Linked DNA regions of Styela clava. The protein of the gene in region 1 purifies or fractionates together with the protein of each later gene. This does not show direct contact. Links are inferred from orthologs where the notes say so. Each region holds a gene or a part of one and is shown in the gene's direction. Other genes may lie near its edges.

Region 1 (7,328 bases):
CCACACGGACTGCCGACACAACCTGCTTCCGACCGCGATTGACTGAAATTTTCAAAATAGCTCGCGATCGACTGATCGGTTGTAATGTCATAAACAAAAATGAACGAGAATATCGGTCAGAGACCGAAGACTTATCGATCGAAAGTTAGGGGATCCCAAAACAGCGCTCTTACTCCATAGTGACACCTTGTGTCCCATTACTAATTAATTAATGACTTGCTAATTATACGGCATAATTTGTCCAAAATCAATGGGCTTCTGGTCCGAGATAAAATGAATGCACATGCAAAATCTGGACCAGATTCAATCTCGCTTCCGTGAGATATCGCGTGCATCTAACAGACATACAGACAGACAAATACCTATCAACATACTTACCGATTAAAATCGACAAGTAATGAATACGAATACGCAGATAACCGCACACACGCATACAAAAATTCCACTACTGCCAATAAGCTCGGCTCCGCGGGCGCATTCTCAATGAAATTGCCACAAAAGTAGGCATTTTTCATATTCCATTCAATTTGTTAATTTTTTGATTATGTAATTGTACCCGGAGTAGAATTTTTATCATTTATTTCAGATTTATTGAAATCATACACTTCAGATCTAGGGCCTGTCTAATTTTCAGTTGTAAGTGTTTTCAATTTCTCCAAAAACCTTGAATGAAAGTGTCCATGTACTATCTAAACAGCGAATAATGAACAATCTCAAACCATAAATGTTCCATGACTGCTCAAACTTCTCTATCTAATTTACAATATTCTTCAAGTCCGATTCTTTGCTCGCTTGGAATTTTGGCAAATTTACTCAACATCAAACGCGATCGACCGGTCTATCGCGATCGGCGTGTTGGCCACCCTTGCAATATATATATATATAGACATATAGTACAACAAAATATTTTTCCCATTCGCATTTTCATGATTTTGCAAATATTAATTTCATGCGCTGACAGAAATAAAAGACTAAAAACGATAAAGACTCGTTACAATTGACCCACAAAATCTTGTTTTAATCATATTTAATGCCGATACACATAATATTTACGAATACGGGATTTAATAAAACTGATTTGTAATAAGTGTGCCGCGACTTTTTAATGTTGTTGTTAGTGTGCCGCAAGCTGAAAAGGTTTGGGAACCCCTGATCTAGTGCATGCTTTTCTTCTTGAGGAATAGAATTACATTTTCTTGGACTTACATTTTCCATTGGTTGTTTTCTAGTCTCTTGTGCCCAATACATTCGATAACGCGGTAATTCCAGAATGCCCATCATGGATGTCCAACTACTCCCAAATATTGTTCGAATTCGTTGTGGTTTGTAGCATCGGAAAATTCTACTTTCTGTACCGAATACAAATTGGTCAGTTCTGCAATGTGATCAATTAAATTATTATTATCAAAAAACTGCTGAAAATATTGTAAACACGTCGATGTCTTTTCTGGCTGAGGAGGTAAAGGTGGCCTTTTGAAGTTACACGCAACTTGTAGTGTAGATCTTGCTCTCCATCGCATTTGAATGTCAGTCATAGATGTTTGATGACGACTTGTTTCTTGATGTTCTACATCTATCTATCTGCTTCTGAACTCAAGGTCATATTTGTCTTAGATGCTGACTGTGTGGAAAATACTTCCCTAGACTCTGACGCTATATATGTGCTAGTTATTGGTGGCATCATTCTGAGCATCTAATATATTCATCATCTGTATTTCTGTCTGAAGCCAGCGATACTTGTTCTGACGAATATAACACACACGAATCATGCCCTGATTTCTGGACTATGTCTTCAACTTCCTTCTCCCTTTCAATTTCTGAATCACTGAACTGAGTGTTTACCATACAGACAACACGGTCATGTATGGCTCCATGAGTTTCAGTAAATCTATTTTTTTTTGTAGGTATAGATATAGACGTAGGTATGGATATACTGTAGATAGATAATTACAGAGGAACCTCATCACCATTTTATTACTCCTCAACATTTTTATTACTCATATGTTTCATTTCTATGTATTATAAATTATCATACTAAACTTGTACTGCAAACATGGCAAAATTCCTAACTGCAGCTAACAACTTTGTGTCCCACTACAAGAACGCTCAAAAATCATAATATTTAATTACATAAGCCCGTCTTGGGCAAATTTATTCAGGGTAATCAATTGAAAAGTGAAACAGTAGGCCCTTCGACGTACCAGCATATATTATTTCTTTCACAAACAAACACGCATTTTTGACAGATCAAGATTTCTTTATTTTTGTCTGATAGGGCTGAATGTTTTATATTAACTTTGGCGAACAGGACCTTAATTCACGAATATATGCCAAAAAGATAGAAGTTGGGATAGAGCAATCTTAATGGGTGGGGACTAGGGGTGCTGCTTTTCATTATTCATGTCCCAGTTGTTTTTCAACCTACGCTTCGCGTGCTATAAAGGTGCGGTGATTCTGAACCACCGCAAATTAGGGCCGAGTTGTCACCTTTTTACAAACCACCTCCAAAATAAAGTACTAAGATAATTTCTCTGGGGTCAAGGGTTGAGGAAACATCCTCCATTCCTGCTTCGCGCTGTTTTTATTTCATTTTTGCCTTGCCTTAAGCATCTGTCCTGATAGGATTTAGGATGTACGGTACGTATTTATCCCGGGCTGCCGGGGAAGAGGAAAGTCAGTAAGACGGCTTAGGCTTAATCAGAGACGAATAGAATGTTCGTTGTATTTAACCAGATGTTGAGACATCTGAGAACTGCAGTGCACCGCTGATATTGTCATCAAACCCTACAAACTGATAAATTAACCATCTAAGTTACCGGTATATTTTTTTGACATTCCCAGAGCCAGAGGTATTACTTATGCGGATAGGCTATGCTTGTTATGAATCGAATTTTACAGAATTGTAGTAATTTTTTTCATGACTTTTATTTGTTTTCAAGTAGGCTATTTGTTCAAGGCTTTTGCATGCCACACAAAAATCTTCTTTGAGCCGCAGTTTGCCCACCCTGATATAGACTAACGGTAAATAGATAAAATCAAGTAACATCTCTAAACCAAAGCTGCGCTGCCACTGTTAGGGCTGTAGGGGGATTTTTTCAGATACCGGTAGTGATTTATCAGATTTCGGGTTTCTTTGCATTAAGTACATCCGTTGATCCACATATCCTTTATCATGTCATATTACTGTATCATCTAGTCTATAGACTACTTACATATTGCAGTACTGAAATAGCACTGTCAGTTTGGTGTTGAAAGTTGAATATTCTATAATCAATATAATATATATAACCCCAATTTTGAATTTTTCTTATAGAAGCACAGATAAAAGGGGTGGAATATTTTATTTACAAGTTACATATTTTCGCAGTTTACGTAAGTGTTTTAGGTATCTAGACTATATATAACGAATGTACGCATACTTTATTTTAGTATTTGTTGCTAATAGCAAGACTAAATTCCTAATTTATTACTTATCGATTTTAATCGGTAAGTATGTTGATAGATATTTGTCTGTCTGTTAGATTCACGCGATATCTCACGAAAGTGAGATTGGATCTGCTGCAGATTTTGCATGTGCATTCATCATATTTCGGACCAGAAGCCTATTGATTTTGGGCGAATTATGTCGTATAATTAGCGAATTATTAATTAATTAGTGATTGGACACAAGGTGTCACTATGGAGCAAGAGCGCTGTTTTGGGGATCCCCTAACTTTCAATCGATAAGTCTTTGGTCTCTGACCGATATTCTCGTTTTGTTATTGCTTAATATGATCTATTTGGATACCTGAAATTGGATGATGCTACAAATCTCTTATCAAACATTCTCAAATGATAATGATGTGACACTGCCATTCTTTGAATTCCTTGGATATCGTGAGCTTCGTTACAATTTAACTACTTTAAAAACATAATTTGAGATACTTTCAGCTTTGTCAGTTGTTGTTATTCACTCAAAGTCATTTTGAATAGTCTATATAATTTTGATGTTTTACTCGACTCGCTGAAATATCAGTAATTTTCAAAGTTTCAAATGCTGATGCAATATTAGTGTTAAATAATCATAGTGTGGTCCTTTACATCTCTATACCGCATATTATAGTTCTTCTTGCACTGTCTTATCATAATCAAATATGGAGCAGGCGAGTTGCCAATGGCGAGTTAGCGCTGTGACAAGTTGCCCTCCACCCTCCCAAAGCTGTATTCTTTGATGAATTGAATTGATCTTGTAAGGAGATAATATTCACTTATTCGGAATAAAATTAGTAGAATTGCTTATTTTTTCAAATTATTGATAAGGACAAAATTCTAGCTCTTGAATTTACTCACGCCAGAATAAAAATCCTATTATGTATGCACAAAAGGTTATACATTACAATAGTTTCTGGTTTACTATAGAGCATTGATCAAATTAGACATTTTAACTCAAAATCGAAGGCTGTTATGGCTGAAAAAGAAACATTTGATGAGGCAGTGGAAGAAAGAGTTATCAATGAAGAATATAAGATATGGAAAAAGAACACACCATTTTTGTATGATCTGGTAATGACACATGCATTAGAATGGCCAAGTCTCACAGTTCAATGGCTTCCTGATGTAGCAAAAGCAGATGGGAAAGACTATGCTGTTCATAAGCTCATTTTGGGGACACATACCTCAGATGAACAAAATCACATGATCATTGCGAGCGTTCAGCTTCCCACAGATGATGCTACATTTGATGCATCTCATTATGATAGTGAAAGAGGGGAATTTGGTGGTTTTGGTTCAGTTAGTGGGAAAATTGAGATAGAAACAAAAATTAACCACGAAGGAGAGGTCAATAGAGCTCGTTACATGCCTCAGAGGCCGTGTATCATCGGCACAAAGACACCAAGTAGCGATGTCCTAGTCTTCGATATCACCAAACATCCACCTAAACCAGATCCATGTGGAGTTTGCAAACCTGATATTCGTTTAAAAGGTCATCAGAAAGAGGGCTATGGCTTATCTTGGAATCCAAATGTAACTGGTCACTTGTTGAGTGCTTCAGATGATCACACTATATGTCTGTGGGACGTGGGTCACAAATTAAAAGAAAATCGTGAGCTCGATGCTAAATCAGTATTTACTGGTCACACTGCTGTAGTAGAAGATGTGTCTTGGCACCTCCTTCATGAAAGTCTATTCGGATCGGTAGCAGATGATCAGAAATTACTTATTTGGGATACAAGGGCACAAAGTACCAATAAACCAAGTCATATCGTTGAGGCTCACACTGCCGAAGTGAATTGTTTATCATTCAACCCCTTCAGTGAATTTATTCTTGCCACTGGTTCAGCTGATAAAACTGTTGCATTGTGGGATTTGAGAAATCTTAAGCTCAAGCTTCATTCATTTGAATCACACAAGGATGAAATATTCCAAGTTCAATGGTCACCACATAATGAAACTATCCTGGCATCAAGTGGAACTGATCGCAGACTCAATGTCTGGGATCTAAGTAAGATTGGCGAAGAACAGTCCGCAGAAGACGCGGAGGATGGTCCTCCAGAACTACTGGTATGTACTTTTTTATCACTCTGTTAATTTTTTTTGTTCAGTAGTTGATCACATCAGTTTAACCAAGAATAAATTATACAATAAAAGTGCCATAGCTAGATATGTAGTATCTGCTCCTGTGCAAAGTGGAATTGAATTTTGGAATGCATTGTACAATATTTTGAGCTGTAGTAATATATTTGCTCAATATTTCTTATTTAAAAATATCCAAATATTGTTAAATATACTAAAAGTATATATGATAGGTAGAACAAAATTATGAGATGTTTCCAGTGTGACAGTGTTCCAAAAAACAGAACCCAGATCTTTTGGAACATACTTTTGCCCAAAGCATCCCAGATCACTGAAACTTTTGGGTACAATTATACACAAACAGAAGTTGAAGTGTTAAATAAGTTTTCTTCATTTTCATAGTAATTAAGAAATTTATGAGCTCTGTTATTTTTTGGATCACCCTGTATGTAAATAAAAGGTGGGCTTTGTTTACCTACAGTTTAATGAGGCCAAAATAATATGCCCAAATTAATTTGCCTGTTTATTATTATCATTTCCATCCATATACAAATATTTCAGGTAAAAATTTCATTTAAAGTATAAGCTATGACTTTTGCCAATTGATTTCTGTGTGTCATGCAAATTGCTCATTTTTACTAATTATTTATGCCAGGCGATTGTCAGCCGTCTGTTACTGCTCAGAGAAATATAATATAGTTTTGTATCTACTTTCAATCACATAAGTAATTGGTCACTGAAGTATAGCAGTAATGTCACAGAAAATGCTTGGAATGCATTTTTATTTTTAATTTCATGTTGTTATTTGCTGAATTTTTTCAAAAAATTAATTAGAAATTACCGTATGTTTTGTCAGTTCATTCATGGTGGCCACACAGCCAAGATCTCCGATTTTTCCTGGAACTCAAAAGAACCATGGGTAATATGTTCTGTGTCAGAGGATAACATCATGCAGGTGTGGCAGATGGCTGAAAACATATACAACGATGAAGAACAAGAACCTGGATGCTCCGATTTAGAGCAGACAGCGGGTTGATTCAGCCGAATGTGTACTTTGCAGATGGCTCCAGAACTCGTAATGCATCAAAGGCAAATATAGTGATAATAGCCTTCCATGCTTCTTCAACCAAATCAACAATGGCACTCCAATAGGCAAGGAAGCCAATTTTCAACAGAATGATTTGCTTGCTTGCTGTATGTATTCAGAGCAATACTCATCACTCGTGATAGCCCAATGCTGCTTATCAAACTAAAGTAATGAAACAACCCATGCAAAACAATGTTTCCGCATTTAACATTTGATGCCTGCTTATTTCAGCCAATTTCTGTGTAGACAATAACATGCTTATCCAGTGATTGTGTCTGTAATGTTAGATTTTTGCCAAATAACAACTGTATTTTGTTCTCAAATACATGTTTCTAAACACATAAAGCATTTACTGTTAAGTTAAATAGTTTTGAATCTCAGTGGTCTGGATTATATCTGCAGGATTGTTAGGCTACTCATGCCAGCCTTTTCTCCACCAACCAAAATTCAGTCTCGATGTAGAGCAATATAATGTGAAAAAAAAACGCGTGAAATTATTTTTGACAAGGAAAAAATTATAAGCCCTGCTGTTTATTTTGACGATGACTTCACACTTGTAGCTCTATTAGACACGGAGAAACTCAACGCCAATGAATAACATTGTTGTGCAATATATGAAGGTCTGCAGTTTTATGAATTTTTAACTCTCCACCGCCGCGAAATACTTTAAATGTTGTTTTACTGACGA
Region 2 (8,005 bases), on another chromosome or scaffold:
GCTGTGAAATTGTGAATTGTGATATTTGTCTATTTCTAATCAAACAAATTTTATTTGTTTCCTTAACTTATTCAAACAAGACAGTGGGTATTAGATGATTGTTTGATTTCAGCTTTTGTCTGCAGTTCTATTTTCGCATCGCAATTTGGCAATCTTATTTCATATTTTCACTTTGACATCTTATTTTGCTTTGAACTATCCATTTTATATTATTCTTTCTTTTAGATGCTTTAAATACAAGGAATCGCCCAGTCATATGCACGACACTCAAAGTTCTTCAGCATCTGGTTGTATCGGGTGATATGGTTGGAGAAGCTCTTGTGCCCTATTACAGACAAATCCTTCCCATTTTGAATATTTTTAAGAACAAGAATCGTAAGTCCGTTGAGTCTTAGATTTTTAAAATTGAGTAATTTTTTGTAAAAGAATGTAATATTCTTAGTTTTGTTACCAGTTTTGTTTTGTTGAAATATAACACAGCAAGCATTTCAAGGAAAATCCCTTGCTGCATCATTGGTGATAAATAATGATTTTAGTGAAACACATAACGTTGATGACATTTTTGTGAGTAATCTAGAGAGACATATTTTTAAATTTTTACAAAAACTTCACTTATTTATCTGAAATTACTCGAGTACTGTTTGTTATAATATGAAACTTTTTCTTCTAGTATTGAAGTTATTGTTATCTCTTGAGCTGTATTCATTTCAGGTTACTTCGAGCTTAGGCCTTGTTGCAAGAAATCTTGAAGCATGAATCCAAGATTGCACTATTTTATGTACTGGTAGTTAGCTCAATATTGTCATTAAATTCTAGGTAACTCCGGTGATGGAATTGACTACAGCCAACAGAAGAGAGAAAACATTGGAGATCTCATCCAGGAGACATTGGAAGCGTTTGAGAGACATGGTGGCGAAGATGCTTTCATTAACATCAAATACATGGTTCCTACATACGAGTCATGCATGCTCAACTGAGTTTCACCAAATTTTTTTCTTTTCTTTTGAAATGCTTTTATTACTTTCATGTTGTTGTACGTTTTTTAGACATTTTCTACTTGATCCCGTATTATCTATATAACATTTTCTGTATTCAACACTCAAAAAGGTATTGCTATTGCTGTGTTTAAATTGATAGAAGGTCATAGACTCGATACCCAAATAAATGCATTCCCTCCATCTATCTATGCTGCATTGTTTGTCAAAATTTCCGTTTTGAGGGTGAAAAAATATTTACTTCCTTATGTTCAGTCCAGTATTATCATCAATGGATGGTGTTTCTCAAGCACTAGTCGAGTATTGCTAATGCCTGGCAAAAAAAAATATTTGACTAAAAAATGTTACGAATAGTGTTGTAGATCACTTCTTTTCAGAAAAAAAAATGCCTTGAATTATAAGTAGTTCTTTTAAATTTTTGTACGTATTTGCATGTACAATTCAATAATATTGTGCTCAATAAACAGGCATTTTTCACCTCACAAAGTTACTTTTCTTTATTCGTTTTGTTGTGTGTCACAATTTATCAATCAAGGTACAGTCGAGTGAGCAGTTTGTACTAAGATTCGAAACAAAATGCAAGGCAGTTGGCACATCCTGCTTAGAGTTAGTAATGGGCATGTTATCCCAACTGTGATTAGCATGCACGGGTTCGCCGGTTAGAATCCCACGTGTGGTTAATTACGTGCATGAAGACTCCTCGCCATCGCAGGGTGATTCCCTTTACCGCTGGCTCACTTGTGATGCTCGATGAAGGTCAATTAGAATTGATTCAAATGTGAAACCAAATCCGCATTCAATGGTAGCATAACTTTTGAAACAAGTAATATTGTTTATCTGTTCCAAAGTTCTTCGATCCTTGGTCTACATTGCATAAGACATTGGGATTACAGCTTCTTAATATTTTGTTTTGAGAATTCTTTTTTTGGTGCACGATACTACTCATGGGGCCTTGTGGTTTAAAACGCGTCTGGTATTTAGGTTTTGACACTTTAAATAATAAATAGGAAAGCGAAAAGTGTGAGTGCTTAGCATGCAATATATCGGCGGAAGATAAATAGGGTAACAACGCAACGTCGGTGAAGCGGTTGCGCCTGCACAAAAACAACGAAATTTTTTGGGGACCGACAAAAAAGCTCGCGGACCAGCGGTTGGGAACGGGCAGAAAGCGTGGCACAGTTTTACTCTCCTTCGCGCCATAAATTTGAAGTTATAAACAGTTGCGGTTCCATTACATTTGAACCCACGGCAATTGGACCTACATACTATTGCACCTATGGAATTTTTTTTGTTTTACGGATATTTGAACCCATACTAACCCTAACCCATGGGGGTTTAGCACCCGAATATGAATTGAACCCGCGGATATACACATGGGTTCAAATGTACGGTCACCAACCGTTGCAGTTATAGGTTTAATCAGCTGTGTGGAGGCATCAATAGTACTATTAGAATCTCCACTTTTAATTCGTGTAAAGGGAAAGTGATAAGCCGACTTAATCATATGACGAACCACGGCATATCGTCCAGTCACCAGGGATTGTTCAGAGGCTTTTTCGGAGTAAAACCGGGGTATCTTTTACTATTTTCCAATCCCTTTTTTAATGTAGACTCGTTTACTCCAAAGAATGAAGATGATGATTTTATTTGTCAATTTGTTCGCTAAGCGTTATATCCTGCGTGGGTTCCAACGACTAACATACCGGTGGGTTCGCAGCATTTTGCCCAGTAACTAACATACCGAGTTTGGTTTTGCCATATAATTAAGCCGTCTTATCGGCTTTCCTCGTTCCCGACATAAATATGTGAATCCTATTGTTCTTATCCAAAGTATATTATTCGTATCCATTCCTCGTTTTTAATAAGTGTGTTATGTAATTGATATTGTGATAAATAACCTAAATACACTTCTTTCATATTACTGTATCATATTTATTTATACTATAAAAGGCGCAATGATGTGGAACAGCGCTGTGAGTATGGACCTTTCCCCGACCTTTGACCCCCGAAAAATTCATCCTATACTTCACCATTGCAAAATTTTCGGGGCTATCTAAGAGTTCTTTTGCGAGTTGGCGCTTGTAAAATGGGGTATGTGTTTCAAACCATCATTATGATTCATCGCATACAACAATCTGTTTTTTAAAATTACCGTTGAAGAGTTTTAGCCTAGTCTATCACAGCTATTTCTACACTAATTTTTATTACTGCAATTAAATTAAAACTCCTAGGAAGACAGGGTGACCATTGACATATCTGATTTACATTTAAGTTTCCAAAACACAACTGAAAACTAACGAATAGAGTTCAAAAATGCGAAAACGAGGTAATGTTTACGACCACGCTTGAAAATCTGTCTGAGTGAGAAAAGTGTCTGAGCGGATGCGAAAAGGTAGCTTTGTTACGTCACTTTTTGCAATTTGCTGATTGGCCAATGTCACGAAGTAAACAAGGAAGTCGATGCCCGGGGAAAGGTCCATACAAGGGCGGGAAGTTTCGGCAGTACGTTTTCACAGCTGATTGTTATGAACGCTTTTCTTTGATAATAGTGGAGTGAATTTTTTCGCGGATCCTCACGCAGTTAGGGAAAAGTTTAATTGTGGTTTGAAGCAGTTTGTGTGGGATGAAATATTAAGGCAAATTGCTTTTGATCCCTAATTCCGTAAATCATACTAAAGGAACGCCCAGCCAGCCAGCGTTCCTATTACAGTATTTGGGTCCGTCCTATCCCTGTATCCTGGTGTCCCAGTACAGCATTACGGTATCTAGGAATCTGAGTATTCATTGGTCATGTCTGCTTTATTCATTCATGTTGGGCTATATTAATCATATGATCCTGTTACAGCAGTACAGTGTTGGTCTCATTTTTTTTTGGGGACATTGGTGGTCCTATTCAGTGACGGGAATAAAATTAAGAAAAATACATAGATATAATGTCACAATGTTTTGGCAAAATTATTTTTAAATTTTTTCAATCTCTCTGCTTCTGCCATTTGAACTCTACCAATTCTGCCATATGCCTCACACACTGACACAGTCACATCCTGATGTAATATGGGCAAGGATAGTGATAAAAAAAAAATTACGCCAATTAATTCTACTTCATTTTCTAACTTTATCTTATTTATCCAAGAGTTCAAGAGTTTGTCCAACTGCCTGAACTATCAGTACTGTTGTTCCAGTAAATATCACAGTATCAGGAACAACTTGCTTTTACACAAAATGTGTATGATTATGTTTTTTCTGTTGTATTAAAAATAAACAATTGTTAAAAAATATTTATAAAACGTGTGTTTTACTAGAACTAAATAATCAGTGTCTTTCACATTTGTCATTAGTTGAACGTAATGCAAAAATATGGTTGGAATGTAATGCAGTTATTTTTGAAAATTATATTTTCCAAGTGTTAAAAATGTCGTAACAAGAATTAGAAAATCCCTTTCAGCAAGGAGAAATATAGAACAATTTAGACATAAACCTAGTTTTATAAAAGAACTTGACATAATTTGCAAGAATCTATGACTAATTGTATAAATTTTTCTTTTTCTGCTATCAATAATTGAAAAACATGTAAATTAATGTATATTTGCTGATAAACATGGGAAAATTTATCGGGAATCAACAATGGAATATTACTGTATTATGAATTGCTGGGTAATACTGGATGATATTTATGAATATATTTGTTTATTATATGTAACTATGTTTATTATTTTTTCATCATTTATTTATTTTTACAAAACTGTTATGAATCCACAACGTAGAACTATAAAAAAAAAGGACAACCAGACAACCTATTTATTTTATGTCTATTTGTTCTGTATTTTGAGGTATCTTGATCCATGATTGGAAGTACAGGAGTAGTAAGTAGGCTAGTACTGGCCGACTTAGTTTTTGTGAAGGAATTTTCTATGTTGTGCTGTTTTATGTCATACTGCAAGTACTGTCATATGTGTATACCCATAACTGTATAATTCTGTAATTTTTGTTTATATTTCCTGATTTCTATGCAGCATTATCATTATATACTTGTTAATGATTTATGATGTAGGTTATAAATGTATTTCAACAAATGGAATCTAACTTCGAAATTACATAGTCAGAATGAAAGTTACTACGCCAGAAATATCATGGCATGCAAAGGAAGCTATATATTCCGTTGATATTCAACCTAAGCAAAAAGATCAACCACTTCGTGTAGCAACTGCTGGTATTGATTCAAATGTCAGGGTATGATTTTTTGTCAACTTATGGTGTATGGGAATTAACATACAATAATATATCTTATAATAATAATATCTTTCAAATAACATTGATTTTACATCGTTTTTAATCTTCGTAAGTGCTTTCTCATTTTAAAATTCATGCATATCTAATGATCTAGCATAGCACAGTAAATCTAAAACATGTCCAAATTTTGCTTTATACTTGAAAAATACCAAATTGCATGATACATTTTTTGCCTTGAATGTTTTCAGATATGGGAACTTAAACCAGAGCTCAAAACTTGTGTGACATTTCTTTCAAATCTTACTCGACATGAAAAAGCAGTAAATATTGTTAGATTTTCGAAGTCGGGAAGCGTACTTGCTTCTGGAGGTGATGGTAAGTCATGCTAGGATTTCATTTCATTCATCATTTCCAATTGAAGGATCTTTGCAATCGAATCATTTTTTCATCTAAACTTTCTGGGTTGCTGCTCGATACCAGCTTTAGTTCACCACTGCTCCCTATTTTCTTTTAAAATTATGTCATCAACATTTTCATATAATTTTGTATTTATATCGTTTTTTAATTTACTGGCTGGAAATAATAAACTGATCTGACTATGGAGTTTTTTCAGAAATATAATAGTAATGCAAGGTCACGAAGACTTGCTCAAAAATCAAATGAAATTCGTGTTCATGCGTGTGTTGAGTTTCACTTTGTCAGAGGCATTTGAGGTATTAAGTTTTAACTGACGATTCTAATTATGATTCTTCGAAACTGACCCAAATACAATTCAAAATATATGACATGCGATTCTCTTATTTTTATCTTCTATCTTTAGACGGAACAATTATTCTCTGGCGACTCAGTGATAAAAATGAACCGCCAAATATATTCGATGATGATGCTGATATAGGAAAAAATATAGAAACATGGAATGCTTTTAAAATGCTCCGGTATGCTAGAGTTTAATTCTTGTGTTGCATCACTCTGTTAAAATTATAAATAACGTATATAACAATATGCCTCCTTCAAAATATAATTATGGTAGTTTTTTTTCTTTAAAAGTTTGCTCAAAGCAAGTTCATTTACAATTACTCAGAAGTAAAAAAGAAATCTTTGAGCCAAGTTGTCGGTGACCACTCAAATGCCAAGCTGCCTGGCTTATCAAAGTTATATATACTTGTGATAGTGCATTAATCCAGTAAATAGTGGGGGACTTGAGACTTTGTTCATATTATCTTTACACTTAAATTGAATCACCAAAACGTCATTTAATCCCTTCATCAAAATAAAATTTCCAGCGTGCAATTTAATAGCAACAATAACAGCAGTGTAAGAATCCATAAAAACAGGAACAACATTCTGATTTAATCTCAGAAAGGAGGGTCGCATCGTTTCTGCGATATTGAACCTAGGTAATGTAGATGACTGACAGCATCTCAGATCATCGTCATAAGAAAAGAAATGCTAAGATGTGGACATCTGAATATTCCTTAATATTGTTAAAATCCTTCCTTCATGGGTCATTTCTCCCAGTTTGGGAAGCACTGATCTAGTCTATATGATCAGTACAACGATTATAGTGGAAAAAAAATTTGGAATTAAAATTTTATTTGTCTTGAAGAAGATAAACAAATGAAAGCTCACAACCAATCTATCTATATATGCTCTGTGTCAATGAAATTCAATTACCCAACATATTTGGTTGTCTCAATATTTAACATCTGTCTATTTTTCATAGAGGACATGTTGAAGACATCAATGATTTAAGTTGGTCAAATGATGGGGATTTTATCATATCTGGGTCTATTGATCACACTGCAATTATGTGGGATGTTGCCAAGGGATCAAAACTAAGTATTTTGACTGAAGCTAAACATTTTATACACGGAGTCGCTTGGGACCCATTGGATAAATATGCTGTTGCTCTCAGCTGTGATAGGTATGTAAAACACATTTCTGTGTAAATTACTTACTTTGAAATTATGCTGAATTTCACTGATCGTCTCCTTAGAGTCCTTACCTCTGATCGTTTTATGTGTAGGCGATGTGGGTTCGAATCCTGCGGCATATGGTCATATGATAAAGAGGGTCGCTGGAACCTATTGGCATTTATACCTCCTATGCACTCCATATTCGTTTGACACTTGAATGCCCATAATGAATCAAATCTTCAAGTGGATTTAAAATTATTTATATTCATGAATTTGGTATAATTTAGAATTATTATCATTTTGAATGATTTGATCAATCGAAGTCTTACAGTGTGAAAAAAAAGACGTTCATTTTATTTTTAAAAACTGTAAAAAATGCAAAACCGATCAATTCATTATTTCTTAATGAATATGCATTGACTTGTACATGTGTTATGTGCTGAAAAAATGACCAAATTCAGAATATACGTATTCGATATTCTGGATCCAAAAATATTATTTTACAATATGTTCACAAACACAATAATAGATTATACTCTTCAGCCACCCTTGAATGAAGTGCAAAAATATGGTTTTCACGTAACATGCAACTTTCTATTCTAAGGTCTATGAGAGTATACAACACACGAACACGCCGAATTCTTCACAATGTATCCAAAATGGTTTATCCTGAAATGGCGGATGACACTGCTGACAACAGTCAAGTTGATAATGATGATGAAAATGATGTTTCTGCCGTAAAACCTCAGCGTATGTTTCATGATGAAACTGTTGTCAGAAGAAGGTAGCCTATTTACTTTGTTGACATTGCTTAAATTGGATAGGATTTTTCCTATTTATTCTGAGAGAGAGGAAAGTGGATTA
Region 3 (7,140 bases), about 8.4 Mb from region 1:
CATACAAGTCTCACATTTCAATTTAAAAGATATTGCCCGATGTCACATCGTGTTTTTGTTTTATTGTGTTTTGACTGTTTTGGGGGGACGGGCGCGTACTTGTACGTATTCAACTTTATTATTAAGTTATGCCCGTCCTCCAGATCCTCTGTATTTTGTTTGCCCTTTGTTGTTGTTTTGTTTTTGTATCAGAGTGACCAAATAAAATTGATTGATCGATTAATAGAAGTATTGCCTGATTTTATATCGTGTTTTTGTTTTATTGTGTTTTGACTGTTTTTGGTGTACGGGCACGTACTTGTACGTTTTTTACTTTTTTAATAATTTATGGCCGTTCTCCAGGTCCTCTGTATTTTGTTTGTTGTTGTTTTGTGTTTTGATTCTATCAGAGTGACCAAATAAAATTGATTGATTGAAGTCCAATTTACAAAATATGCAAATTTGACATCTCTTCACAATTGATCACAATTGATATTGGCGTCACATGCGCTTTTAACCATATCCATATCAAAGTGACTACTGTATAATGTTCCGACTTACACTGAAATTCGGGTTACACCGAGTCTCAGGAACTGAACTGCGTCGTAAGTCGAGGACTCCCACTATACGGTATCATTACCAAACGCTGACTTTGAAAGCGTTTTGAGGAATTGCTGCTTGCAAACTGGCTCACATGTTCAAAACTATTATTTTTATTCAGAACAATAAACCACTTGCCGCTCATAGGTACTGATAGCTAATTTTAGGCTAGTCTATCGCATCGTTTGAGGTATTGATTTTTGATTATTATAACTAAACTGAAGGTCGTCAGAAGACTTAATGACAAATAAGTTATTCGATGCACAATTATTTTATAAAACACAACTAAGAACTGAAAAATGACACGCAAAACTACCAAAAAGGGGCAATGTTTATAACCATGAGCGAAAGGAGTGTCTCAGCGACGGAATAAATTTCAATTGTTAGGTCATTGTTAACTCATTGCTGATTTGCAATTGTTACGGAAAAAAACAAGGAAATTAATGCTCGGGAAAACATCCATACCTTGACCCTAGGAAAATTCTTCCTATGCGAGTGTTTTGGAGAGTTGTCACCTACAAACTGATTTACATGCTCAAAACCATTATTTTTATCGAAATATACAACCAATTGCCGCCTACACTTATTAATAGCTAATTTCAACCTAGTCTATCGCAGCTTTTCCGGGACGATTTATTAATGTAACTAAACTAAAGCTCATCGGAAGACATAATGACAACTAAAATACAGTACTTCAATTACAACTAATTTTTGTAAACACAACTGAAAACTGACAAATAACGCGCAAAACCACGAGAACGAGGCAATGTTTACAACCATGCTTGAATATTTGTCTGAGCGTATTAATAGGTATTTACGGTCTGAGCGAACGAAATGTATGAGCGGCTACAAAAATTGCAATTGTTACGTCATCGTTGACTCTTTGCTGGTTTGTCAAGGAAATCGATGACCGGGGAAGCATTCATGAATATTCTATTTTACCAAAATCACATTAGGGTTCTTCTACTTGTGCCATATTCGCGCCACTAGTGGCGTAGCCGATATTGAACTAAAGTAGTGGTAGACTGATCAGGTTAGATCAGATCAGATCGATTAGCGTTTGAATCTCACATCAGGAATAGTAAAGACTTCCACATTTATTCCCGGAGAGAGGGAAACCGATAAGACGTCTTATTCGTATGGCCACGCCAGCCATTAAAGATAGCTTCCATCGATATTTGTCTCCTTATCCTGTGGATATATCTCAAGCGCAGTATTGAATTGCCGTCAGACCGTACGGTTGGTCTGTAGGCGACGGTTCAAAAACTCTCTTCGAACAATTGATTATGGATGTAAAATGGGGTAGGTATGGACTGATAAGTTATTTATTACTTATCGATTTTAATCGGTAAGTATGTTGATAGGTATTTGTCTGTCTGTTAGATGCACGCTATATCTCACGAAAGCGAGATTGAATCTGCTCCAGATTTTACATGTGCATTCATCATATGTCGGACCAGAAGCCTATTGATTTTGGATGAATTATGTCGCATAATTAACGAGTTATTAATTAATTAGTGATGGGACACAAGGTGTCACTATGGAGTGAGAGCGCTGTTTTGGGGGATCCCCTACCTTTCGATCGATAAGTCTTCCGCCTTTGACCGATATTCTCGTTTTGTACATTATTCATTTTATATTTGAATAAATTCACTCATTGAGTGAACCATTTGAAAAAAAAGATGAATAAATTCAGAAATTAATCTTAGATTCTACATTGATTCTTACTCAGTCAGAAAGTGAAAATAAATATCTGAATCTAATATATCGTTCATGATAGGGAATGATTGATTCTGTTAATTATCAAAATCTCATTTTATCATCATCAGAAGTCTGAAAACTGGATCAATATATATATTTTTTTTGATTGAACTATACTATGCCTTGTGTGTTTTGGAACCTCTGTCACGCTAGCGGAATCCTGCTGCTCAAAAATACGATATCATAAAAAGTGTTTCATTATAAAATTTATGAATAAAACATAATTGAATCGTAGTCTACTAAGCAAATGCGGTCTAAAAAATTTTGTGTAAAATACAGTACTGGTATCCAGTCTGATGTGAATAGAATAAGAATATATACTCTAATAAAATTATGTAAGTTGTGCAATAAAATGTTGTATAAATGTCAAAAACATGTATACGTGAATAACAAATGAGGTCAATCAAATGAAGAAATTCGAAAAAAACTTGATCAGATTTCTAAAAAAATACTTTTAAATACAACGCAATAACGTAAATTTCACAGAAAATCGATAAATTGACTCAAAATTTGAACAAGATCCGAGTTGAATTCAAAATCTTCCTAATCAAATAAAGAAATTAGAAAAAAACTTCACAGAAATATAAAAAATCGTTAAATTGACCCAAAATTTGTACAAGAATCGCTTGAGGGGCTCAAAAAATATTTTGGCTATAGATAGCTGAATTCAACATCTTTCCAATCAAATGAAGAAATTGGGAGAAAACTTAATCAGTTTTCCAACGAAATGCTTTTTATACAACGCAATAACGTAAATTTCCTAAAAATCCGAAAAATCGTTTAATTGACCCAAAATTTGAGCCCCAAAGACAGATCTTGTTTAAATTTTAGGTCAATTTAACGATTTTTCGGATTTTTAAAATTTTTTTAATTAAAATTTTAATTAATTAAAAAAATTTAATTCTTAATTATTAACCAATTTATGGGTCTCGTGTAGTTTCGTACCTCAAGTACTAGTAGGCGTAGCGTAACAATTTTTGCACATGTCAATTCTAACCCCCACTACGCCATCCAAAAATTACGTCACTATGATGTCATAGAGCTTGCCAAAGTATACCTACGATCGCCCTGAATGGCATCTGCGCCGACGATAAAGAACGCACTAACGGCAGCGATCTCTCTCATATCGGGATCACTGCGACGAGAAAACGAGAGAAATAGCTTGCTCAATTTCGGATGATCGTCTGTGCGTCTTGAGTGACAGTTCGTTTAGTTTAAAGGCCTTATAGCGACACTGTGACGTCGTAGTGATGATGCAGTCAGGTGGGGGTTAGGATTGACATATGCAAAAATTGTAATGTTGCGCCCACCAGAAGTACATGAGGTACGAAACTACACTAGACCCCAATCTATGGTAATTGTTGGAATAAACTGTAAGCCTAGACTAAGTTGACTGTTGAATAATTTATGAATTTTAGAATTTATGTTGCAACAGCTTTGTTTCCGTAATAAGTGGGTTATGCCACATACCATACTTTCATAATTGAAAAAATGTTATGTTTTTTTCAAATTATTATAAATTCAGATATTTCTCCCATTTATCCTTGTCAAGCAAATAAGTTTAATCGACTTCACATTAAATTGGATATTTGTACCTGGAGACCCCAGTGAAATGGGTCCTCGAATAAAATAGAGCATGTCAAACCAGTTCTGTTTCTGTGAAAATCAATTTGTTTATTTCCAACAATCAATAATTCAAACATAGCGTTTTTTTGAAGTAGGTTATTGCCAACCTAATAGAATCAGCAAATTTCAGATTGATTTAATACCTCATTGCTCACCATAATCAACTATTTTTCAATTTCTATACAGATATTGCATTCTTTAATTTTAAAATATGGCTGAAATTGGTACCGATGAAGGTGCCATGGAAATAGAAACTAATGATGGTTTGGGTTATGATAGTCTTCCTGGAACTCCTGAACAAGAGAAATATAGAAAAAAATCTAGAAAAAAAGACAGAAGCGGTAAAAAAGCAAAGAAAAAACGTAAGACCGAAGCCAGCGATGAGGATAACGAAGGATCTGCTATTGAAAGTGATCCAGAAGTGTCTTTTAACATCGATGGAGAAAAACAGAAAAGGAAAAGGAAGAAGGACAAAAAAAAGAAGGTTGAGGATATAAAGACATCTAAAGAGATTTGTGAGGAGTGGGGTTTGCCTCCATTTGAGCATGATTATACTGATGAAGAGTATAAAACCTATGTAACTTACCGACTTTTCAATCAGTTTGCCAGAACAAAACTTGCTACATTATATCCAAGTCTTGTAATAGCAAAAATGTATCCGCTTATAAATGCGCTGTGGAGGGAATTCCAGTCTTTGGAAGGATTTCAAGAGATGCAGGAATCAAGCAGTAATGCACCATCATCGGGTGTGCCAACGCCAACAATGATGGCAGCTGAGATGGAAGATTCACCCCAGCCTTCTGTTTTGCGAGGTCCCACTGCTTCTGTGGATGTGGTGCCTGTGGACAAAAAGAGCCGTAGTCGTAGCACCACACCAAAATTTGGGATGAAAAAGGAAAAAAAAGTTGCTCCTCTTCGTATCAGGCTTCCCATGAAAAGAAAAAAGAAAGATGCTTCGAGCGAAGAAGAAAATTCACCATCAGATAATGATTCAGATATGGATTTTGCAGAGACCTTGGCAGCTTCTGTTTTAGAGGGTGAAACCAAACCAAAGCAATCTAAAAGAGGTGGAGCAAAGGGAAGAAAGATAAAAAGCACAAAGAAGAAAACAAAGCCTAAAATGAGAGATCCAAGTGAAGAAGGATATGAAACAGATCACCAAGATTACTGTGATGTTTGTAAACAAGGTGGCGAAATTATTTTATGCGATACATGTCCTCGTGCTTTCCATCTTGTATGCTTGGATCCCCCATTAGACAAAGCTCCAGAGGGTAAATGGCCTTGCCCTGTTTGTCAGGCACAAGGAATCAAACCAAAAGATAGTGATGCTGAAGAGTTTTCAGAGGAAGAAGTTGAGGAAGAGGTTCAAGAAGAAGACGATCATATGGAGTTTTGTACTGTTTGCAAGGATGGTGGTGATCTGCTAATCTGCGATACTTGTCCAAACTCTTATCATTTAAATTGTTTGAATCCGCCTATGGTTGTTGTTCCAGATGGTGAATGGTCATGCCCAAGATGTGCTTGCCCACAACCCAAGGGTAGACTTGAAAAGGTGATGGCTTGGAGATGGAGAGATGCTCCATATACTGAAGTACCTGATGATAGACCAGGTAATGAAACAGGCAAGAAAAAGTTGTGGGGTTATAGACAGCGGGAATTTCTTGTAAAATATCATCATCTATCTTACTGGGAAGTGGAATGGATAACAGAGCTACAACTTGAAATTTACTTCATTCATCAGTGGAGAACATTTACGCGTCGTAATGATATGGAAGAGGAAACACCATTGGAATGGGACGATGAGTGGACAAATAAAGAATTGGCGAACAAGTATTACAAATATGGTATAAATCCAGACTGGCTTGCAATACACAGAATTATCAATCATAAAAAAGCAGGGAGAAGCGGCCAAATCCAATATTTAGTAAAATGGAAGGATTTGGGATATGATAAGGCTTCGTGGATATTGGAAACCAATGAAGAAGTCATTGGATTACAAGATGCTATTAAAAAGTATCATGAACATAGAGAGAGTATAGAAGGAGCAGTAAAAGAAAAAAAAAAGAAAAAGCGCAGAGAAGACAGAAAAAAAGAAGACAAACCTGATCCTTCTGAAAAGTACGAAGACCAACCTACATACATCACAGATATTGGTGTTGCATTGCATGATTACCAACTAGAAGGTCTGAATTGGCTCAGATTTTCTTGGTCACAAGGTACCAACACCATTTTAGCAGATGAAATGGGTCTGGGAAAAACTATTCAAACTATTGTATTTATAAAATCATTAGTTCATGAAGGTCATTCGAAGGGACCTTTTTTAATATCGGTACCATTATCCACTATGATCAATTGGGAACGAGAATTTGAATTGTGGGCACCAGAACTTTATGTTGTAGCTTACTATGGTGGAAAGGATTCTCGGGCAGTCATTCGAGAACATGAATTTTCATTCACTGACAATGCAATCAGATCAGGAAATAAAGCATACAAAATGAAAACCGGATGCCTTGTTAAATTTCATGTCTTGCTGACGTCATATGAAATGTGTTCCATCGATAACACAACTTTGGGGTCTGTCGATTGGGCAGCTGTTTGTATTGATGAGGCACATAGACTGAAAAACAACCAGTCAAAGTTTTTTAGAGTGCTATCTGAATATAGCTTTGGATTCACACTTCTTCTGACAGGAACGCCATTACAAAATAACCTAGAAGAACTTTTTCATCTGCTGAATTTCTTATGTCCAGAGAAGTTCAATGAACTAGATGTCTTTCTTGATGAGTTTGCTGATATATCACAAGAAGATCAGATTTCGAAATTGCATGACATGCTTGGACCACACATGCTGCGTAGACTAAAAGCAGATGTCCTAAAAAATCTTGCATCAAAAAGTGAGTTCATAGTTCGAGTCAACCTTTCACCACTTCAACGAAAATTTTATCGATACATTCTCGCCAGAAACTTTGAAGGTCTAAATTCAAGAGGAGGAGCAAATAATTCTTCATTGCTTAATATTATGATGGATTTAAAGAAATGTTGCAACCATCCATACCTGTTTAATAAAGCTGCAGAGGAAGCTACACGTACGGCAAACGGTGCGTTTGAGGGTCATGAATTGATCAAAGCAAGTGGAAAGCTCATTGTTTTGCATAAGATGCTTCGTAAGTTAAA
Region 4 (7,995 bases), on another chromosome or scaffold:
ATTAAGCCTCTTTGGTGCCCTAAGCACTGAAGACTTTGGTGCCCCCTCATGTGTAATTTAATTATAAAAACAACAAGAGAGCTATGCTCAAATATATGGACACGTAGCGCCACCCAATGGCAATAATTTTGATGACGTCATAGCGAAAAAAAAAGTAATAGCCTTCTGGAGAAAAATTTTATCTTCAACCACTGAAAATTTCAAAGCAATTGGTCCAGTATTCGAAGAGAAAAGCGACTTTTTAAAAACGTGTCAAAGAACAACAACAAGGATAACAAGAACAAGAACAACAACAACATAATATTGAAACGATCGTTATGTCCACTACGTGTCCAATAAACCACATAAGTGTATTATCCATTAAAAATAATCACAACCAACAGTAAATAAAACGAACTTTACGAACCTTTTCAGGTTTTTTAACTATTATATATAGCCGATATATATATTGGCCGTTTACTGCCGATATTATATATATGCAAACACGCAATATCGGGCCGATATATCGGTTGAGCTCTAATCCTGAGGGAGTGTGACAATAAAGATTCATGCCTCCAGTCTCAACGTGAATCGAAATGCCAAAGGATACAAGTCACAACTGTAGTTTGAAATTTTACCGGTACCTAGTAGTCTACCTCAGAGTGGTTCAAGGTTGCTAGGTTGAAGGACCGCAAAAACTTTTGACGAGGTCTCGCGGGCCGCAAGTCGGAGAAAACCAAAAGTGATCAAAATATCGCGAGTTTACTTACTTTAAATTTATTAAACAACGAGATCTTCTAATCAGACTATTATTAGGTTGCATGGTTGGCGTTCGTTTTCATGGTTTTGGCCAGTTTTCGTCTATTTTACTACCCAGTGCGCTGCATATGGATGTATATGCGACACTTTGTGGGTATTCGGCAACGACTAACATACCAGATACAATTGTATTCGAGTATTTTTGGAGCCTGATGTGGATCTCGTTTTTGAAAAAAATTGGTTGTTCAGGCGATTGCACAATAGATATAAGTGGAAACAATTGTTTTTGCCTGGTATCCCAAAAATGCAATAACCTCCACGGGGAAAATTTCACCTGAGTCTTCAGTATAGGACGAAGAGAAATTTAGTTGATACTGCCGTAGACTGTGTACCAGGTTGGCGTTAGGCCATAACTTTGTTCTGACTTTTCTTATTTTGGTTCTATTACGAGTTCGGGTACTGTGTGTGTTACCCAAGTGAATATACCCTTCAGTCCTTTTACACAACTTGATGTAAAGTAGGGCGAACAATATTATTTACCTCAATATTGGTACACACACTTCTGAAGCGCCCTTTAGGACTACCGGTATGTTTTAGGTATATCTCGGGTAGGCAGGGGCGGATTAAGCCTCTTTGGTGCCCTAAGCACTGAAGACTTTGGTGCCCCCTCATGTGTAATTTAATTATAAAAACAATAAACCACATAAGTGTATTATCCATTAAAAATAATCACAACCAACAGTAAATAAAACGAACTTTACGAACCTTTTCAGGTTTTTTAACTATTATATATAGCCGATATATATATTGGCCGTTTACTGCCGATATTATATATATGCAAACACGCAATATCGGGCCGATATATCGGTTGAGCTCTAATCCTGAGGGAGTGTGACAATAAAGATTCATGCCTCCAGTCTCAACGTGAATCGAAATGCCAAAGGATACAAGTCACAACTGTAGTTTGAAATTTTACCGGTACCTAGTAGTCTACCTCAGAGTGGTTCAAGGTTGCTAGGTTGAAGGACCGCAAAAACTTTTGACGAGGTCTCGCGGGCCGCAAGTCGGAGAAAACCAAAAGTGATCAAAATATCGCGAGTTTACTTACTTTAAATTTATTAAACAACGAGATCTTCTAATCAGACTATTATTAGGTTGCATGGTTGGCGTTCGTTTAAAGAAGATATATAAAGCCTTCAGATATTTTAAAGTTAATTTCCGAGAATTACCGTTGTATTTTGCGCATCTCGCGTTTAATGTCGCTTCAAATTATATTCTTTCGTGACAGATATTACTTGAAATCAAACACTGCGTGATGGGCAAGGAAATACATTTCCGCCGTGTTCTCTCATGTCACCTTTCTTGCGACACTCATTTTATTACGAATTGTTATATATATTGAGTAATTTAGAAACTTGCAGCGTGAGCAAGCTTAGTGACATCGTCAAATACCAACCAAGTCAGTCTAAGTTTGTTTTCTGGACCTAGCTAAAAAACTGGATTACGCGGCGTTAAGTCGGCTCTGCGTTTCGTCACTACTGTCACATGGCCGATGCTTGTAAACAGAGGAGTGTTTTGGCACAAAGCGTTAGAAAAAGGGTTTGAATTTCGGGATCCCAACCCCAGTTGGAATATCTAAAAAAAAACGTTACTCCATTACATACAAATATACGCTAAAATTGTTCTGTGAGCCGCACGGAATGTATCAGCATGACAGAGTTTGGACCACCCTGGTCTACCTTATTAAGAAACTCCCGACTTTGCTGACCAATATATCGTTGAAATGTTTGCGGAATCGCCATATGGTGGCAAATTCTGATGACGTCATAGCTCAAAATAAAAACGAATCTCATAAAGCTCACAGAAATATTTGAAACTAATAAAAGTAATAGCCTTCTAGAAAAAAATTCCATCTTTAACTACTGAAAATTTCAAAGCAATTGGAATTTTTAAAAACGTGTCAAAGAACAGGAACAATAAGAACAACGACTATATTGCGGAAAATGGCTGTAATCCAATCACAATGTTTGGTTGCATTAAAAAGTACTCCTATTATAGCGTTACAATCCCAATGTAACGAAATGCCTTTACATATTATACATTATAGAAAATGTCTACATTACAAATGCAGAATGATTCCTCGTGACAGCGAAATTACAGCACAATTATTCAAACAGTCGTGGGAAGAATATTTTTCTTACAAACCGTCATTTGCAACGTTTATTATGAAAACAACCAACAGCTTTTTTACCAACTTCTTTGTTGCAAAAGTTGTCAATTTCAAGATTCCTTAAAGCCACCGCAAATTGATACAACGTTAACGATTTATGGTACAACATGTTCACCAACAATACTTCAAACGTCATTTCTTGACCATATACACGAAAAACTATCGAGACTATGTACAAGTATTTACTGACGGTTCGAAAAATCCATTTGGCGTAGGTGCTGCATATTATGTGCCTCAAGCGAAAGTAGAGAAAAAACTTAAATTACATCATAAAAACTATTAATATTCCGGGGCGAAAAAAGTTTGGGAAGCGCTAGCTTAGGGTAGGGATAGTGGGAGTAAGCCGCCAGCAATCCTCTGGTACTAAATTATCCCCTACTGGATTTGAACCTGCGAATCTAAGCGGGGTAATCTTAGGTTAGAAATCAAGCGTAGTCCTAAGGCTTAGTACGATGCGCCACTCAACGCGAACGTAGTCAACTGCAGTGCACTGGCTGACATAGATACTAAACACATTAATATACGTCTATACCCTTACGCTGGATGACGAAATCTCAGGATTGTTCTTTATGGCCGTACATACCTGTATCATGATCGCTTTTTACCAAGAGGTCTACTGTAGAGACAGACTCAAAGTGCTTCATACAGAACTATAGAGTCTCCGCGAACTATTCGTTTACTCAAAATGACATTAATAAAATTAAAGAAGAAGCAAATACATCCGAGTTATTGAATAGCGTATTTTCAAATCACTCATTAATATTAATCTGTAAGTAACAATTTGTTTTTGTTACGTTCTTATTGTGGGGCTCCGTAAATAGCAGTCTACCTCTTCACGAGCTTCATAACACCAAATATGTGAATCAGTCGTTGTCGTCGGTATGCACTTGTCTTGAGCAGTCAATTGTCGTATTTACTTCACATAGAACCGTGGTTAATGCTGTTGCTGATGTTATATCTCTGCCGTTTGGTTTGGGCGGAGAAATTACCTTTACTGTAGGCCAGGACCGCACCTAATTATTTATTTTGGATCATTAGCCCCAGTTTTTGAATTTCCTATTATACAATGACTTTCATAGTTTTGAATATATACGAAAAGAACTATAACACCATAATAAACAATTTTAATTTGCTACTAACCATTAGTCGGTCGAGGAAGTGCCCGTTTAAGGAGGCCGAAATATCATTTCTGGAAAGACCGGACCCAAATAATTTTGAAGTTTTATTTGCGGACCTTCGATAAAAATAGTTGAGTAGCCCTGCAGTAGGCATCGAAACAACGTCCCATTGTGACTCCACTTTTAAGGACATCGCCGTCACGTTATTGTATGAAAACATTCTTGACTGCGAAAGTCAATGAGCTAAGATTTGTACGTTAATTTAGAGAATGCATTGATATAACGCTAAACACGCCGTTATTCTTTCATGGAGTGGAGGGAAGGTTACATTTTTGATGACATCCACGTGCGCGTTTACTCGAAAAACAAAACAGACAAATATAATGGAAATGCTGGATTCTTTGTACTAAGCTCCCGTCACTGATGTAAAAATGTGAGATCTGAGATAAACGGTTCCATTACATTTGAACCCGTGTACATTTGAACCCACGTACATTTGAACCACGTACGTCTGAACCCACGACAATTGCACCTGCGTACTATTGCACTTATGGAAATTTAGTTGTTTTACGGATATTTGTACATGGTTCAAATGTACGTGGGTTCAAATATACGTGGGTTCAAATGTACGGTCACCGAGATAAACACCCCCAAAAATACTATGAACTAGGTATTATGCGATCAGAAAATGTATGAAGCAAATCCCAACCGTCATCTTCATTCTGCAACTTTGAGATCACGCGTTAGAAGCGTGATCGGACCGTAACGGCAACCTGGAGTAATTAAAGTAATCAGTTAAAAATATTTGATTACAACAATCAGTTAGCTTTTTTCGTCAAATATTTGTGCGCGGGAAGCCACAAGCGACATCGCAGTCACAAATGTTCGTCGTAGGATAAGGTTTGATTTTGTGTAGAATGTATGGACAAGCTGACTGTTGGGTTATGACAGCGAGTTTGAAACAATATTCAGGTGAGCTAAATGTTCTTTAAACCTATTGTTTTCATTGATATTCCATTGCTTTCATTTTTCTATTGTATAAGTGGTAAATTAGAGGTTTTCGGGCCTATACGAATTGGAATTATTAACCAAATACAGAAGTCTAGATTGGTGGGTGATTCTCTTTTGTATCGAACGGGTTCCATCGTTTCCTCAAAACTGGTTGAACTTAAAAGCTATATGACAATACATAGACTTATCATATTAAGAAACTTAAACGTAATATACTGATCTACGTCGCTACGTAAGCTGCATTCAACAGGACAAGATTTACATGAATGTAAAGCATAACTTTCAAAACTTTCGCAAATGTAGCGCAAAATCAATGGTTTATTAGAGATTCGCCGTAGCCTTTTCCCTTTCATATTTTATTGTGTATAGGGTGCTCCCAGAGTATTCGTACCAAGATGGCGCACATCCTGAACACAGTATGTGTACCTGGTTAGGGTTCAGGTTGTGCACCATCTTGGTACGAATACTACCGGATCGCCTTGTATAGATTGGATCTTTGTACAAAGACGCTATCAACGTTCAAAATAAGAGAATTAATAATTATCCAGTTTAAGTTAGCAATGCAGATTGCGCTGGGAATTCAATTTTAAATCATTCCTAACCCCAAATGGATTATTAATAATATGTCATTTTAAAACGTGGCGGGAGCGTTGGCAGAAGATTTGACTTCCGACGCCTATTTTATTCCTGTACACCACTGTTTTCGTTTAGAATGCTAAACAATTAGATGCAAGCGCACCGCGTCTCGGGTCTTGCGATCAAAGTCGGCATTGCCACTTATTTGATCGTGTGTTTTCCCTCAAAATTGTAAGATTTATATTTTCACAAGTTTTAATAATTGTCTTTCGAATCAAAATTCCAAAAAAGTAAGACCCACGTTCACGTTTAAAAGGCTAAATAGTTCGATGCAAGCCAACATTGTTACGCTGTATATTTGATCCTGTGCATATCGAAATTTAAGATTTAGATTCTGTACATGTTTTAATAATTGTGTTTTAAAGCAGAAGTCCGAAAAGTTCATTGGGTGTTTTACTTTTATTCTAATATTTGCAACTCGTGCAGTTTGAAAACTACACCTGGTATGTTATAAAATATGGAGCTGTATTTATGAAATTGAATGATTACATATACCTGTAACTGTAAGGTCGATGAAAAGCAATTTCTATGTTAATCTATAATATTTGAAATTTAATGGCAATCGCTGAATAAATTTTATTCGTCTAAATTTTCTTAGTTTTGTGTATTTAAAAAAAAATCGGAGGAAAGTTTGGCTTTTATGAAATCTAATGTCGAAATTTACCCGTTACGTATTTTATTGAAACTAACGTCTATTTTTTGCTTTGCAGTGTCTCTGTCAAATAACATTTGTCTGAATTAACTACCTAATGACATAGTTGGCTCAACGAAATTTAGTTTAACTCAAATTTAGAATTGGCTTGCACAAAATCATGACATATATATTGATTTTCAGCTTTTTAAAACACTGCTTGAAAGTTGACAGGACAATTTATCATTGTAGCAAAAGAAATTCGTCAAGTACCAGCTTTTCATCACTGAGTGAGATGGAGGCCTATCAAGTCTGAAGATCAAGTATGTAACCAAATCATTTGAAAGCTTTTCAATTTAGATGTCTATAGTATAGATTAATGATATATTGTATTTTTTTCGGAAAATCTACATACAAATATTACTTTCAATATATTGAGTATAAGTTTTGGTTTGTGTGTCAAATAACATTTTCTAAAAATTACAACCTCAAAATTTCATCATAACATGATTCGCACAACTACCGTTTTATTCTGGCTGCTGAGTCGATCCAGTGAATAAGGCTAGGGCCATGTTTTAGAAATAAAAATTAAGCTTTTTTTTCGTTCCCGCCCAATAGCGGGTAGGCCACTACAGCGCCAGGCTACGCAAAGTACTCACGGCGATAAAATACGGCCAGATATGGGCAAATAGGGAATCGATTCCAATAAGCCATCTTGGCTAATGTTCTGTGGTCGTTTTTGTTCGCTTTCGACTGATATGTTGGCCATATTATTAACCGAGACTTACGCATATTCATATACCTGCCAAAATTAGACCGTATGGTGGGCTGGGGTAGGATTAGCGTTTGATATATAATGAGAAACGAATCAAGAACTTGCGAATATGCAAAAAAAATCGACGCAAATAATTAATTCCTGTCAAATCCCATAAGAAATGCATTGCGCGCATCGGAAAAGTTGGAAGCATATCGTCAAAACGAGAGAGGCTTCATATGACCCCGCGAAAACGAGAGAGAAGCACACTCTATATTTATATATCTCTGTGGGTTATATGGTCCTTTCCCCGACCTTTGACCTCCGAAAAATTCTTCCTATAGTTTACCATTGCAAAATGTTCGGGGCTATTTTAAGAGTGCTTTTACGAGTTCGCGCCTGTGAAATGGGATATGTGTTGCAAACCATCATTATGAGTCATCGCATACAACAATCTGTTTTTTAAAAGTACGGTGAAGAATTTTAGCCTAGTCTATCATAGCTATTTCTACACTGATTTTTTTATCACTGCAATTAAATTAAAATTCCTAGGAAGACAGAGTGATCATTGAATTATCTAAATTATATTTAAGTTTCCGAAACACAACTGAAAACTAACGAATAGATTTCGAAAACGCGAAAACGAGGTAATGTTTACGACCACGTTCGAAAATATGTCTGAGTGAGAAAAGTATTTGAGCGGATGCGAAAAGGAAGCATTGTTACGTCACTTTTTGCATCTTGCTGATTGGCCAATGTCACGAGGTAAACAAGGAAGTCGATGCTCGGGGAAAGGTCCATACACCTCAATGGTATGAAGTTTCCCTCAAGCATCGATTTCCTTGTTTATTTCCGTAACAATTACTAATCCGCAATA

What was found.
Region 2: the proteins of histone-binding protein RBBP4 (region 1) and chromatin assembly factor 1 subunit B-like purify together in Drosophila melanogaster (affinity purification with western blotting; 3 studies listed by BioGRID, with this or other methods). This does not show direct contact. The link is inferred for Styela clava from reciprocal best matches to the Drosophila melanogaster genes Caf1-55 and Caf1-105.
Region 3: the proteins of histone-binding protein RBBP4 (region 1) and chromodomain-helicase-DNA-binding protein 5-like purify together in Drosophila melanogaster (affinity purification with western blotting; 4 studies listed by BioGRID, with this or other methods). This does not show direct contact. The link is inferred for Styela clava from reciprocal best matches to the Drosophila melanogaster genes Caf1-55 and Mi-2.
Region 4: the proteins of histone-binding protein RBBP4 (region 1) and SWI/SNF-related matrix-associated actin-dependent regulator of chromatin subfamily A member 5-like purify together in Drosophila melanogaster (affinity purification with western blotting; 5 studies listed by BioGRID, with this or other methods). This does not show direct contact. The link is inferred for Styela clava from reciprocal best matches to the Drosophila melanogaster genes Caf1-55 and Iswi.

What each region holds. Positions count from the first base shown.
Region 1 is NC_135252.1:3,759,089-3,766,416, reverse strand, and holds histone-binding protein RBBP4, read left to right. Parts: upstream 1-4,328; 5' UTR 4,329-4,443; coding exon 4,444-5,541; intron 5,542-6,409; coding exon 6,410-6,589; 3' UTR 6,590-6,985; downstream 6,986-7,328. UniProt on the Drosophila melanogaster protein: Core histone-binding subunit that may target chromatin assembly factors, chromatin remodeling factors and histone deacetylases to their histone substrates in a manner that is regulated by nucleosomal DNA.
Region 2 is NC_135250.1:10,849,908-10,857,912, reverse strand, and holds the start of chromatin assembly factor 1 subunit B-like, read left to right. Parts: upstream 1-4,991; 5' UTR 4,992-5,099; coding exon 5,100-5,225; intron 5,226-5,473; coding exon 5,474-5,600; intron 5,601-6,045; coding exon 6,046-6,160; intron 6,161-6,948; coding exon 6,949-7,149; intron 7,150-7,745; coding exon 7,746-7,925; intron 7,926-8,005. Other genes in the region: parkin coregulated gene protein-like, read left to right, coding at 226-375, 817-977.
Region 3 is NC_135252.1:12,201,503-12,208,642, forward strand, and holds the start of chromodomain-helicase-DNA-binding protein 5-like, read left to right. Parts: upstream 1-4,133; 5' UTR 4,134-4,177; coding exon 4,178-7,140. UniProt on the Drosophila melanogaster protein: ATP-dependent chromatin-remodeling factor which acts in nucleosome-remodeling by catalyzing ATP-dependent nucleosome mobilization. Involved in regulating transcription. Plays a vital role in development.
Region 4 is NC_135260.1:16,354,213-16,362,207, reverse strand, and holds the start of SWI/SNF-related matrix-associated actin-dependent regulator of chromatin subfamily A member 5-like, read left to right. Parts: upstream 1-4,971; 5' UTR 4,972-5,058; intron 5,059-6,568; 5' UTR 6,569-6,687; intron 6,688-7,995.